3 linked regions of the Macaca mulatta genome follow. The protein of the gene in region 1 interacts with the protein of each later gene in a pairwise test. Links are inferred from orthologs where the notes say so. Each region holds a gene or a part of one and is shown in the gene's direction. Other genes may lie near its edges. The genes, in order: SYT4, NBR1 and SGTA.

Region 1 (3,650 bases):
GTGATATATATATCAGTTGGAAAGTAATTCAATCTATTCAACCTATAGCAATTGCTAGCTCTATTAGGCTTTTCAAAAGGCTCGTATCTCCAGCTCTGCTTCTTTAATGTATATTATTGGTCATTTGATTTTTCAGATGAAATCCCCACAGTGGTGGGGATCTTCAGTGCATTTGGCCTGGTCTTCACAGTCTCTCTCTTTGCATGGATCTGCTGTCAGAGAAAATCATCCAAGTCTAACAAGACTCCTCCATACAAGTTTGTGCATGTGCTTAAGGGAGTTGATATTTACCCTGAAAACCTAAATAGCAAAAAGAAGTTTGGAGCAGATGACAAAAATGAAGTAAAGAATAAGCCAACTGTGCCAAAGAATTCATTGCATCTGGATCTTGAAAAGAGAGATCTCAATGGCAATTTTCCCAAAACCAACCTCAAACCTGGCAGCCCTTCTGATCTGGAGAATGCAACCCCAAAGCTCTTTTTAGAAGGAGAAAAAGAGGCAGTTTCCCCTGATAGTTTAAAGTCCAGCACTTCCCTTTCCTCAGAAGAGAAACAAGAGAAGCTGGGAACTCTCTTCTTCTCCTTAGAATACAACTTTGAGAAAAAAGCATTTGTGGTCAATATCAAGGAAGCCCGTGGCTTGCCAGCCATGGACGAGCAGTCGATGACCTCTGACCCATATATCAAAATGACGATCCTCCCAGAGAAGAAGCATAAAGTGAAAACTAGAGTGCTGAGAAAAACCTTGGATCCAGCTTTTGATGAGACCTTTACATTCTATGGGATCCCCTACACCCAAATCCAAGAATTGGCCTTGCACTTCACAATTTTGAGTTTTGACAGGTTTTCAAGAGATGATATCATTGGGGAAGTTCTAATTCCTCTCTCGGGAATTGAATTATCTGAAGGAAAAATGTTAATGAACAGAGAGATCATCAAGAGAAATGTTAGGGTAATTTATTTTCAGTGCTTAAAGTATTTATAAACAATCTTTTATGTAGCTTTTTGGTGTCTGAGGAATTTTCATTAATATGATAAGCTTGTACATGTCATCCTTACCATGTTTAATTATTATTAATTATAATCTAATGGAGATCAAGGGAATAGAACAGATGAAATAAAATTTAATCCATAACTGAAATACTCAAAGTGTTTTAATGATATGAAATAAATATGCATTCTTTATGGATATTTATATATCACTTACGTAAATACTTTTGTTAATCTCTATCATAAATATTTTGACAGACACTGCTACTTTAAAATATAGGTGAATATTTCTTATTCATAGGCAAGTTAACAAAGAGGTTTCAAGGTCAACGTAATTGAATTTAAAATGGAAATTTAAAATTAAATCAATTCTTCCTGAAGATTTGGAAATTGTATTGACTTTCAATGGAACTGCTTTTCAAGGAGGAGGTATCACGTCATATTCAATTATCAATGCCTATCTCTAAATTGTATAGTAGGAAATGAGTTCCTCTATTTTTGTAGTTATACTACTCTGGTAGTTCTGGGTTTATTAGAAAAAATAAGGCATCAATTAAACAAATTTAATCCCATCTTCACTTTAAATTTGAAACTCAATTGATTTCAACAGTAGTATTTCAGAATAACTTCTCTCTATAGTAGAATTATTTATAAAAATCAATAAACATACTAATTTACGTTTTTGAAACAACATAGTGTTTCAGAACTGAAAACCTGACAGCTCATTTTGACTGTCTCCTCTCCTAGTGAAATTAATGAAGGTCAAGGTTCAGAGACATTGCACAGCTTGTTTGAGACACCCGGCTGATTTAGTGGCACAGTGGGAATAAGAATCTTTCTTCTACTCTTATTCTCCTTAGAGTGCCTACTTATACAGCTGTCCCATGTTAGTTTTTGTATAAATATATTGCAGTTTTAGTTTTGTGTCAGCCATCACTCTTAGTTGCAAACAAACACCAAGTTAATATCTTGTTACTTTCAGTCAAAAATTTTACTTTGAATTATTGGATATGTTATCTATTGTCTTTAAAGTACAAATGAAATCTAAGTAGCATTCAAAGAAGGACGCTATGACACCGTCCCAAAACAATTCTCTCCAGTACTTAAAATCAATTCATTTCTTGGCTTGAATGGAAATTTGCTGTTGTTAAAGAGGCAGAGAATTTTAACTCCATTATCCCTCTGTGCCAGGAAGGTAGTTGGGGTCGGAATGAATCTCACTGGGACTGAGTTCAAATTTCAACATGTCGGTGGTAAAGAATTTGAAATCAAATCAAACTTATCTAATTTTTTGCATGAGTATGTGCAGTCATTTGACCCAACACATACTCATGCAAATAATTAGATAAGCTTTGTTACTAGTAATAACTTTGAAAAGTATAGATGTTGTTAAAAACCAAAAGCCAAAAATAATCCTGTGTAGGATATAATTTAAATATGCTTTAAACATTTCTAAGTAATGGGTGTGGTCAATTTATTGCGAATTTTAACATCCTGTAGTACCAAACAAGACCACAAGATGGCAGGCAGTGGTTTTTCAAGCAGCGATGGTCCTGCAGAAAAGCTTTTACTCTTCGATTCTTTAGAATATAAAAATAAAAATAAGTAAGAAGATTACATTTAAATGACAATGTTATTTAAACTTTAATGAAAGTACAAACTTCAAAGCTAAAAAGATAGAAATACTTATATCACATTTGTCTTTCTTTAGAAGTCTTCAGGACGGGGTGAGTTACTGATTTCCCTCTGCTATCAGTCCACCACAAATACTCTAACTGTGGTTGTCTTAAAAGCTCGACATCTGCCTAAATCTGATGTGTCCGGACTTTCAGGTAAGAATGCTTCTGAAATACTCAGGTTCACTGTATGAGTGGAATGTATTTTACTGCAAATGAGCCCACCTACTCTTACTCTTTTATGTTTTATCTTTTCTCTAATACCTTGTTTATCTACTGTAAAAGTTAGCTTTTAGTTTTGTGACTAACTTTACAAAAAAAATGAAACAAAACACTAATTGTTTGTTGTATAGAAATGAGAAACAAAATAAGCTACAGTTTAACATTACCTGAGTTCAAATCCTAACCCTTCCATTCCTTAACAAAATATTATTGGGTATGTTTCTCAACCTCTGTACAAACTGGCCATAATACTGCTCATCCTGAGGGGCATTGTGAGAACTAGAAACACACACTTCTTCAAATATCATCTAATGTTATTACTAGTATTATTTAATGATGGAAGTTGAAAACATGGTCTTAAAAGATTAGATTATGAAGCTAAAATTGACTCATATATTGCCACCAGAAAAAGGCAAAAGCATTGTGATAAAGTGGCATGAACTTAAAATCTACATACTAACAATGACACAGAGAAGCTCAACACTAGGAAATAGAAAGCAAATCCAGCCTGTGACTAAAGAAATTCATAAAAGTTAAAACTAAAAAAAACATTGACATTGTGGACTCTAAATCCTCATTTTATGGAAAACACAGCCAAAAGTCAGGGAAATAGACTTACCCAAAGTCACACAAGTCAGTAAAGCTAGATGTTGTCTAATATATATTTTTTTCCTTCTATTCTATTCTTGGACTAAGTTAATAATAATCAGAATGGGTCCATAGAACATTCTATTTTCTTTCCTTTTGTGTTACCTCTTTTCCT
Region 2 (3,650 bases), on another chromosome or scaffold:
CCAGCCTACATGACAGAGTGAGACCCTGATTCTGAAACAAAAAAAGAAATTCAACTAGAAGCTGACACTGATGAAGATTGCAATTGGCTCCACGTAACTTCAGAATTTATTTGTGACTTTCTTTTAAGACTTGCTTTTATTATCTCACAGGCTCCAGAAACAGGTTGATAAGAACTTTCTTAAAGCAGAAAAGCAAAGATTGCGAGCTGAGAAGAAACAACGTAAAGCAGAGGTCAAGGAACTTAAAAAGCAACTTAAACTCCATAGGAAAATTCACCTGTGGAATTCAATCCATGGACTCCAGAGCCCCAAGTCTCCTTTAGGCCGACCTGAGAGCTTGCTCCAGTCTAATACCCTGATGTAAGCCCAGGGCTGGGGTGGGAGCCAAAACTTTAGGCCCAGCTCTCTGAAACTGGAACTTCAACCAACTTCCGTCTTATTTGTTGGTAACCCTTAACACCCAAATCCTTAAAAATTCCGATTATCTGGTCTTAGTTTTTTTGTTATTGGCTTTTTTGTTTGTTTTTGTTTTTTGAGACGGAGTCTCTCTCTGTTGCCCAGGCTGGAGTGCAGTGGCATGATCTTGGCTCACTGCAAGCTCTGCCTTCTGGATTCACGCCATTCTCCTGCCTCAGCCTCCCGAGTAGCTGGGACTACAAGCACCCGCCACCACGGGCCTGGCTAATTTTTTGTATTTTTAGTAGAGACAGGGTTTCACTGTGTTGGCCAGGATGGTCTTGATCTCCTGACCTTGTGATCCACCCGCCTTGGCCTCTCAAGGTGCTGGGATTACAGGCGTGAGCCACTGCGCCCAGCTTTTTTTTTTTTTTTTTTTTTTTTGAGACGGAGTCTCGCTCTGTCACCCAGGGTGGAGTGCAGTGGTGTGATCTCGGCTCACTGCAACCTCCGCCTCCCGGGTTCAAGTGATTCTCCTGCCTCAGCCTCCTGAGTAGCTAGGGTTACAGGCGCATGCCACCATGCCTGGCTAAGTTTTGTATTTTTTTCAATAGAGACGGGGTTTCACCATGTTGGTCAGACTGTCCTCGAATTCCTGACCTCAGGATCCGCCCGCCTTGGCCTCCCAAAGTGCTGAGATTACAGGCGTGAGCCACTGTGCCTGGTCTGGTGTTAGTATTATTAAAGGGTAGTTTGGTAGTTTTTTTTTTTTTTTTTTTTTGAGACAGAGTCTCGGAGTCTCACACTGTCGCCCAGACTGGAGGGCAGTGGCACGATCTCAGCTCACTGCAAGCTCCGCCTCCTGTGTTCACACCATTCTCCTGCCTCAGCCTCCCAAGTAGCTGGGACTACAGGTGCCCGCCACCATGCCCAGCTAATTTTTTTGTATTTTTTAGTAGAGACAGGGTTTCACCATGTTAGCCAGGATGGTCTCGATCTCCTGATACCGTGATCCGCCCGCCTTGACCTCCCAAAGTGCTGGGATTACAGGCGTGAGCCACCGTGCCCGGCCACATTTGGTAGTTATTTTTGACACTTGTTTTGTTTCCTTCTTCAGAAAGATAGAAACCACTAAAGTTCAGAGTGGTGGGGTCCCTCTCTTCATTGGAGGCAGTCTGGAATTGAAGCAAAAGGAACAAATATTTTAAAAGCCTGACTCTCTAGGTGTTGTATTTATGGGCCCTTTTAATTACTCTTACCATGACTTTTTTAGCTCAGGAGTGAGACCTATCCTCTGTTTTGTTTTATTGTTTTAAGTTTGTCAGAAAATTTATTGTTTATGATATGTGGTCCTATACTAGTAATATTAGTATTATTTTTAAGGCAAATGGGTTAGTACATTTTCAAGAGTCACAGCCAGACTCTCAAGCCAGTGCGAGATATTCTGAAGACTTCACACCCAACAGCAAGTGACTAAGCATCTGAATTTCTGTTCAGGCTCCCTTTGCAACCCTATACCCCCGTTATGCCAATGCTCAGTGCAGCATTTGTGGATGAGAATTTGCCTGATGGGACTCACCTTCAGCCAGGAACCAAGTTTATCAAACACTGGAGGATGAAGAATACAGGAAATGTGAAGTGGAGTGCAGACACAAAGGTAATTTTTCCCACAAAATGTGAAGATGAGGTGATTTGAAGTGGCAGAGTGCTCAGCTGACAAGCTTGCTTTCTCTTCTTACTGTTTTTTTCAGCTCAAGTTCATGTGGGGAAACCTGACTTTGGCTTCCACAGAAAAGAAGGATGTTTTGGTTCCTTGCCTCAAGGCCGGCCATGTGGGAGTTGTATCTGTGGAGTTCATTGCCCCAGCCTTGGAGGGAACGTATACTTCCCATTGGCGTCTTTCTCACAAAGGCCAGCAATTTGGGCCTCGAGTCTGGTGCAGTATCATAGTGGATCCTTTCCCCTCCGAAGAGAGCCCTGATAACATTGAAAAGGGCATGATCAGCTCAAGCAAAACTGATGATCTCACCTGCCAGCAAGAGGTGAGCATTGACTGACAGGCTTTGGCCCAGTATCCAAATCATAGTTAGAAAGGACATGGCTAAAAGAACCCACTCATAGCTAGTTGTTTTCCAGAAATCTTGAAAGGTTAGCATCTCCCCCCGCCCCCAACACATTTCTGTGCTGATATTTGGCCTCTTCCTTAGGGTGTTTGTTTTAGTGTCTTTGTTTTAGTATCTTTAGGGTCTTGCCGCAGGCGGTCCCTGAATACTTCTTTGTAATGTTGCATGGTCAGCCTGTTGGCTGCACAAGGGAAAAAGGGGCGCCTGGCCTGGCCTGGCCTATGGAACTGCTGAACTGATAGCTTTTCTCCTTAATATCCATCTCCTGAAATACTGTGTGTATGTTTCCTAAATACTAATGAAGTCTTGCCCTGGTTGCTACTTAGTGCACAGTTTTTTAATGCAATTTCTTTGTATTAGTCGGGCAGAGTGTTTACTGCTTAAAGTTACCCAATGTTAATTTTCTGGTTTTGACTATTATAGTTAATGTAAGTTGTCATTAGGGGAAGCTGGGTGAATGTGAATTCTCTCTGCTGTTTTTACAGCTTTTCTATAACTGTAAAAATATATCAAAAACATTTCTTAAGTTTTTTAAGATACAGAGGTACAGCAGAGTTTTTATTTTTGGGGGCATTGTCAGCCTGCCTCTTCAGTTCTGTTGAAGGCCTAAAATTTGTCTCAATGGTTTGTCTCTATAGGAAGCTTTTCTTCTGGCTAAAGAAGAAAGACAACTTGGTGAAGTGACTGAGCAGACAGAAGGATCAGCAGCCTGCATCCCACAGAAGGCAAAAAATGTTGCCAGTGAGAGGGAGCTCTACATCCCATCTGTGGATCTTCTGACTGCCCAGGTGGAAGATTCAGCACTTTGTAGGGCAAGGGACAGAGGGAGAGAGCACAGGAGAGAAGGTGGTAGAGCCATAGGCGGTAATCAGGAAATCAGAGATATGCCCACTTTGATCTAGTCCGGTATATTTAATGGGAAGGAGATCACCCATGGAAGCAAATTTGTAAACTAGATGTTTCCTCTTTGAATTGGGAACTCAATCCTGTACTTCCCCACAAACTCCCTTTAGTGGCCTCTTCACTTTGGCCTAGCTGATTCTCCTTTTTACCTGCTGCATTTTCTCTTTCCTGCCATTTGGTTATTTCAACACCTAATTCCTATTTAACTCTTCCTTTTTTCACTTGTCT
Region 3 (3,650 bases), on another chromosome or scaffold:
AAATATTAAAAAAAAATAAAAAGAAGCAAAAACAGCTTAAATGCTTGTCCACAATAAATAGTCAGTGCAGTGTGGCCCGTCCACACAGTGGAATGTGGATGGGTGAGGCTCTGACCCAGGCCCCAGTGCAGATGCACCATGAGGACATCACGCTCAGGGAGAGACGCCAGACACAAAAGGACACACAGCGTGTGATCCCATTTCTTTCTTTCTTTCTTTTTGAGACCGAGTGTCTCTCTGTTGCCCAGGCTGGAGTGCAGTGGTGCAATCTTGGCTCACCGCAACCTCTGACTCTCTGGTTCAAGTGATTCTCCTGCCTCAGCCTCCCGAGTAGCTGGGACTACAGACGCGCGCCACCACGCCTGGCTAATTTTTCTATTTTTAGTAGAGACGGGTTTCACCGTGTTGGCCAGGATGGTCTCGATCTCCTGATCTCGCGATCCACCTGCCTCGGCCTCCCAAAGTGCTGGGAGTATAGGCACGAGCCACCGCGCCTGGCCTTATATTTTTAAAGCATAAGCTTTGTGGCCTGTAAATTATATCTCAGTAAAACTGTTTAAGGAAACACGCTGGTACCAGTCTTCCCCCAACACCCTCCTGAATTGGGATCTCGGGGGTGGGAGCGGGTTTCTGTCTTCAGAGCTCTCAGTTGGTTCTAGGATAGCAGCCGGGCTTTTTACTGTCCTGCCAGCTGGGACCCATGCCTTAGATAGAAGCCACATTGCTATGAAATTAGAAGGTATCAGGAGTTTTCTAAAATTCAGGCCTCCGCTTGGGCTCTTTCCAAAAGAAATGGCAAAAGGGACAGTTTCGATCCCTGGGCCGATGGGCTGTATTAACAGTTCTGTTCCCAGGGGTCACCATCCAGGCAGCGAGAGCCACCATCCATCGCCAGGCCAGGCCCTGCCGGCCCCACCTCCATCCCCCTTAGTGGGTGTAGAGATGACCGTTTGTGATTAGTGAACCCCCCACAGATGCAGACGCCTCCTGCCCACGGCTGTGTTGAGCCCTAGGTGCCCCGAAGAACCCGGTGTGAGGCCGAGAGCCCCCGCGGGTCTGTCTGGACGCCCGGGCCAGTGTTTCCCCCTCTCCCTGTAGGAAACGAGCAGATGAAAGTGGAGAACTTCGAAGCTGCCGTGCATTTCTACGGAAAAGCCATCGAGCTCAACCCAGCCAACGCCGTCTATTTCTGCAACAGGTGCCAGCTCGGGGCCTGCCCAGGGCGGGGGCGGCCGTGTGCGGGGCGCCCTCCGGGATGCTTGGCAGGGGCCTGAGATGGGAGAGGCCTCTGCGCTCTAGATAAGGGATCCGTTCACCGGCGGTCCCAGACCCAGAGCAAGCATCAGGCGGCCAGCAAGGGGGTCAGGGAGAGTCGACGCTGACGTTAAGATCAGGTGGCTCGCCCAGCACTCTGGGAGGCCACGGGGGGAAGATCACTTGAGGCTGGGAGTTGGGGACCAGCCTGGGCAACATATCAAGACCCCTGTCTCCACAGAAAACGTAAAAACTAGTCTGGGGGCCGGGCACAGTGGCTCACGCCTGTAATCCCAGCACTTTGGGAGGCCGAGGCGGGTGGATTACTTGAGATCGAGAGTTTGAGACCAGCCTGTCCAACATGGTGAAACCATGTCTTTACTAAAAATACAAAATTAGCCGGGCGTGGTGGTGTACACCTGTAATCCCAGCTACTTGAGAGGCTGAGGTATGAGAATGACTTGAACCTAGGAGGCAGAGGTTGCAGTGAGCCAAGATTGCGCCACTGCACCCCACCCTGGAGACTCTGTCTCCAAAAAAACCCGAAAAAAAAAAATTAGCTGGACGTGGTGGCGCACGCCTGTAATCCCAGCTAACTGGGAGACTGAGGCAGGAGAATCACTTGAACCCGGGAAGCGGAGCTTGCAGTGAGCTGAGATCGTGTCACTGCACTCCAGCCTGGGCAGCAGAGCAAAACCCTGTTTCAAAAATAAATACATACGTACATACATACATACATACGTACGTACATACACACATACATACAAAATCAGGTGTCACGGCGTTCCACGTGGATGTCAAGCCAAGAAAATAATCCGGTATGTGGAGGGTTGAGGTTTTTTTGAACGTGTGGTCTGGGATCTGCTTCAGGCTTGCAGAACAGTTGCAGAGGGAGTGCAGGGTCCCTGGCCGCTTGTCACGGGGTAGTTTATTCTCCACTTACGCTTCTCCGTACTTTGAAAAAGTCGTAAAGAGAAACACTAAACACGAAAATGGTGAAGACGATTCAGATGCTGTAAGCCAAGAGCTTTGAGCTTTGACATTGGTCTGAGTTCTTTTTTTACTGATACGTAAATAATTTGTCAACGAAACTTGGGTGTAAGTTCCCACACTCATTGCTCTTGTGCAGCCATGGATTGGAACAGTTTTTGCAAATAAAATTCAGAGTCGCAGTCCCAAGTGGCTGTTGGTGCCTTGAGCGCGCATCTGTCTAAGAGCATCTCAGTGGCTGCACCTCTCAGCTTTCGCCGTCAGCCCTATTTTACAGAGGGGGAACCTGAGGCCGTTCCTCCAGGAAGCGGAAGAGGAACGCAGCTCTCAGGCTCCCCTCCAGGGCTGCCTGCTGGGCTCAGAGCCGCCAGTGAGGGACCTGCCCTGCCTTTCTTCCCCAGAGCTGCTGCCTACAGCAAACTCGGCAACTATGCAGGCGCGGTGCAGGACTGTGAGCGGGCCATCTGCATCGACCCCGCCTACAGCAAGGCCTACGGCAGGATGGGGTGAGTGCCTGTCGCATGTTTCCAGTCTCTCGGGGCTCCTCCTCTCCTGCTCCTGCTTCCTCTCTTGTGTGGCTTTTTCCCCCACCCACAACCGATTCTCCCCCCACAGTTCAGTTCAGCTCTGACACTAGCCGTTCGGAGCCAACGTAGCCCCTACAGGTCGCAGGCTCAGCCCCACAGACGCCCTGCATCACGTGCCACTCGGAGATCCCCGGGCCCCTTGCTTCTCCCGACTGGCTGTCCACTGGGGTTCCCGTGGCCCCTACTCGGGCTCCATTGTTTGCTGGGGCGGCTCACAGAGCTCAGGGAAGCACCTGGTTTATGATGAAGGACACAGGAGGGGTCTGAGGGCGAGGCCAGGAGGGTCCCCGGGGCAGGAGCCTGTGCCCCGTGCCGCTGGTGCCACCCTCCCAGCATGAGAAGCAGTTCATTCGCCTGCTTCTGTGAACGCCCTTGCTTAAAGTTCGTGGGACTGGGTCTCCCCGGAGGCTGGGGAGGATCCTGTTCACCTGCCCAGTCTCCCCAGGACCTGCCTCCTTCTGGGCTCTCTAGGGGCCCCAAGTCATCTCAGTAGTGAAGACTCAGGTGGGAGTCAGGGGCTGCTTGTGGACGACAGGAGACACGTCTGTCACTGAGTTCCCAGGGTCCTCGATGCCCTGTGCCAGAAAGCGGGGCCAAGACCACATCCACGCGTTTCCTGTGACCCTGAGCCGGCCCGCTCCCTCCTCTCAGCCCGCTCTGGGCTTTGAGGCCTCGTGTGCGGCCCCATGGGGACGCCAGTTCTTGTGCGGCAGCGGTGTTCTCATGTCTGTCTCCCTTGGTCCCGCCCCTGGGCCCCTAGAAAGCCAGGTTTGTCTCCAGCCAGCTGACAGTGGGCAGGGGGTGCCGCCATCCGAGGCG

Evidence for each region.
Region 2: the proteins of SYT4 (region 1) and NBR1 interact in binary tests that used the Homo sapiens proteins (3 or more experiments, as listed by UniProt). The two-hybrid records come from large-scale screens. The link is inferred for Macaca mulatta from reciprocal best matches to the Homo sapiens genes SYT4 and NBR1.
Region 3: the proteins of SYT4 (region 1) and SGTA interact in binary tests that used the Homo sapiens proteins (3 or more experiments, as listed by UniProt). The two-hybrid records come from large-scale screens. The link is inferred for Macaca mulatta from reciprocal best matches to the Homo sapiens genes SYT4 and SGTA.

Annotation. Positions count from the first base shown.
Region 1 is NC_133423.1:49,172,191-49,175,840, forward strand, and holds part of SYT4 (synaptotagmin-4), read left to right. Parts: intron 1-136; coding exon 137-951; intron 952-2,700; coding exon 2,701-2,821; intron 2,822-3,650. UniProt on the Homo sapiens protein: Synaptotagmin family member which does not bind Ca(2+). Involved in neuronal dense core vesicles (DCVs) mobility through its interaction with KIF1A.
Region 2 is NC_133421.1:67,529,276-67,532,925, forward strand, and holds part of NBR1 (next to BRCA1 gene 1 protein), read left to right. Parts: intron 1-150; coding exon 151-360; intron 361-1,893; coding exon 1,894-2,053; intron 2,054-2,147; coding exon 2,148-2,438; intron 2,439-3,157; coding exon 3,158-3,307; intron 3,308-3,650. UniProt on the Homo sapiens protein: Ubiquitin-binding autophagy adapter that participates in different processes including host defense or intracellular homeostasis.
Region 3 is NC_133424.1:3,534,645-3,538,294, reverse strand, and holds part of SGTA (small glutamine-rich tetratricopeptide repeat-containing protein alpha), read left to right. Parts: intron 1-1,098; coding exon 1,099-1,198; intron 1,199-2,645; coding exon 2,646-2,750; intron 2,751-3,650. UniProt on the Homo sapiens protein: Co-chaperone that binds misfolded and hydrophobic patches-containing client proteins in the cytosol. Mediates their targeting to the endoplasmic reticulum but also regulates their sorting to the proteasome when targeting fails.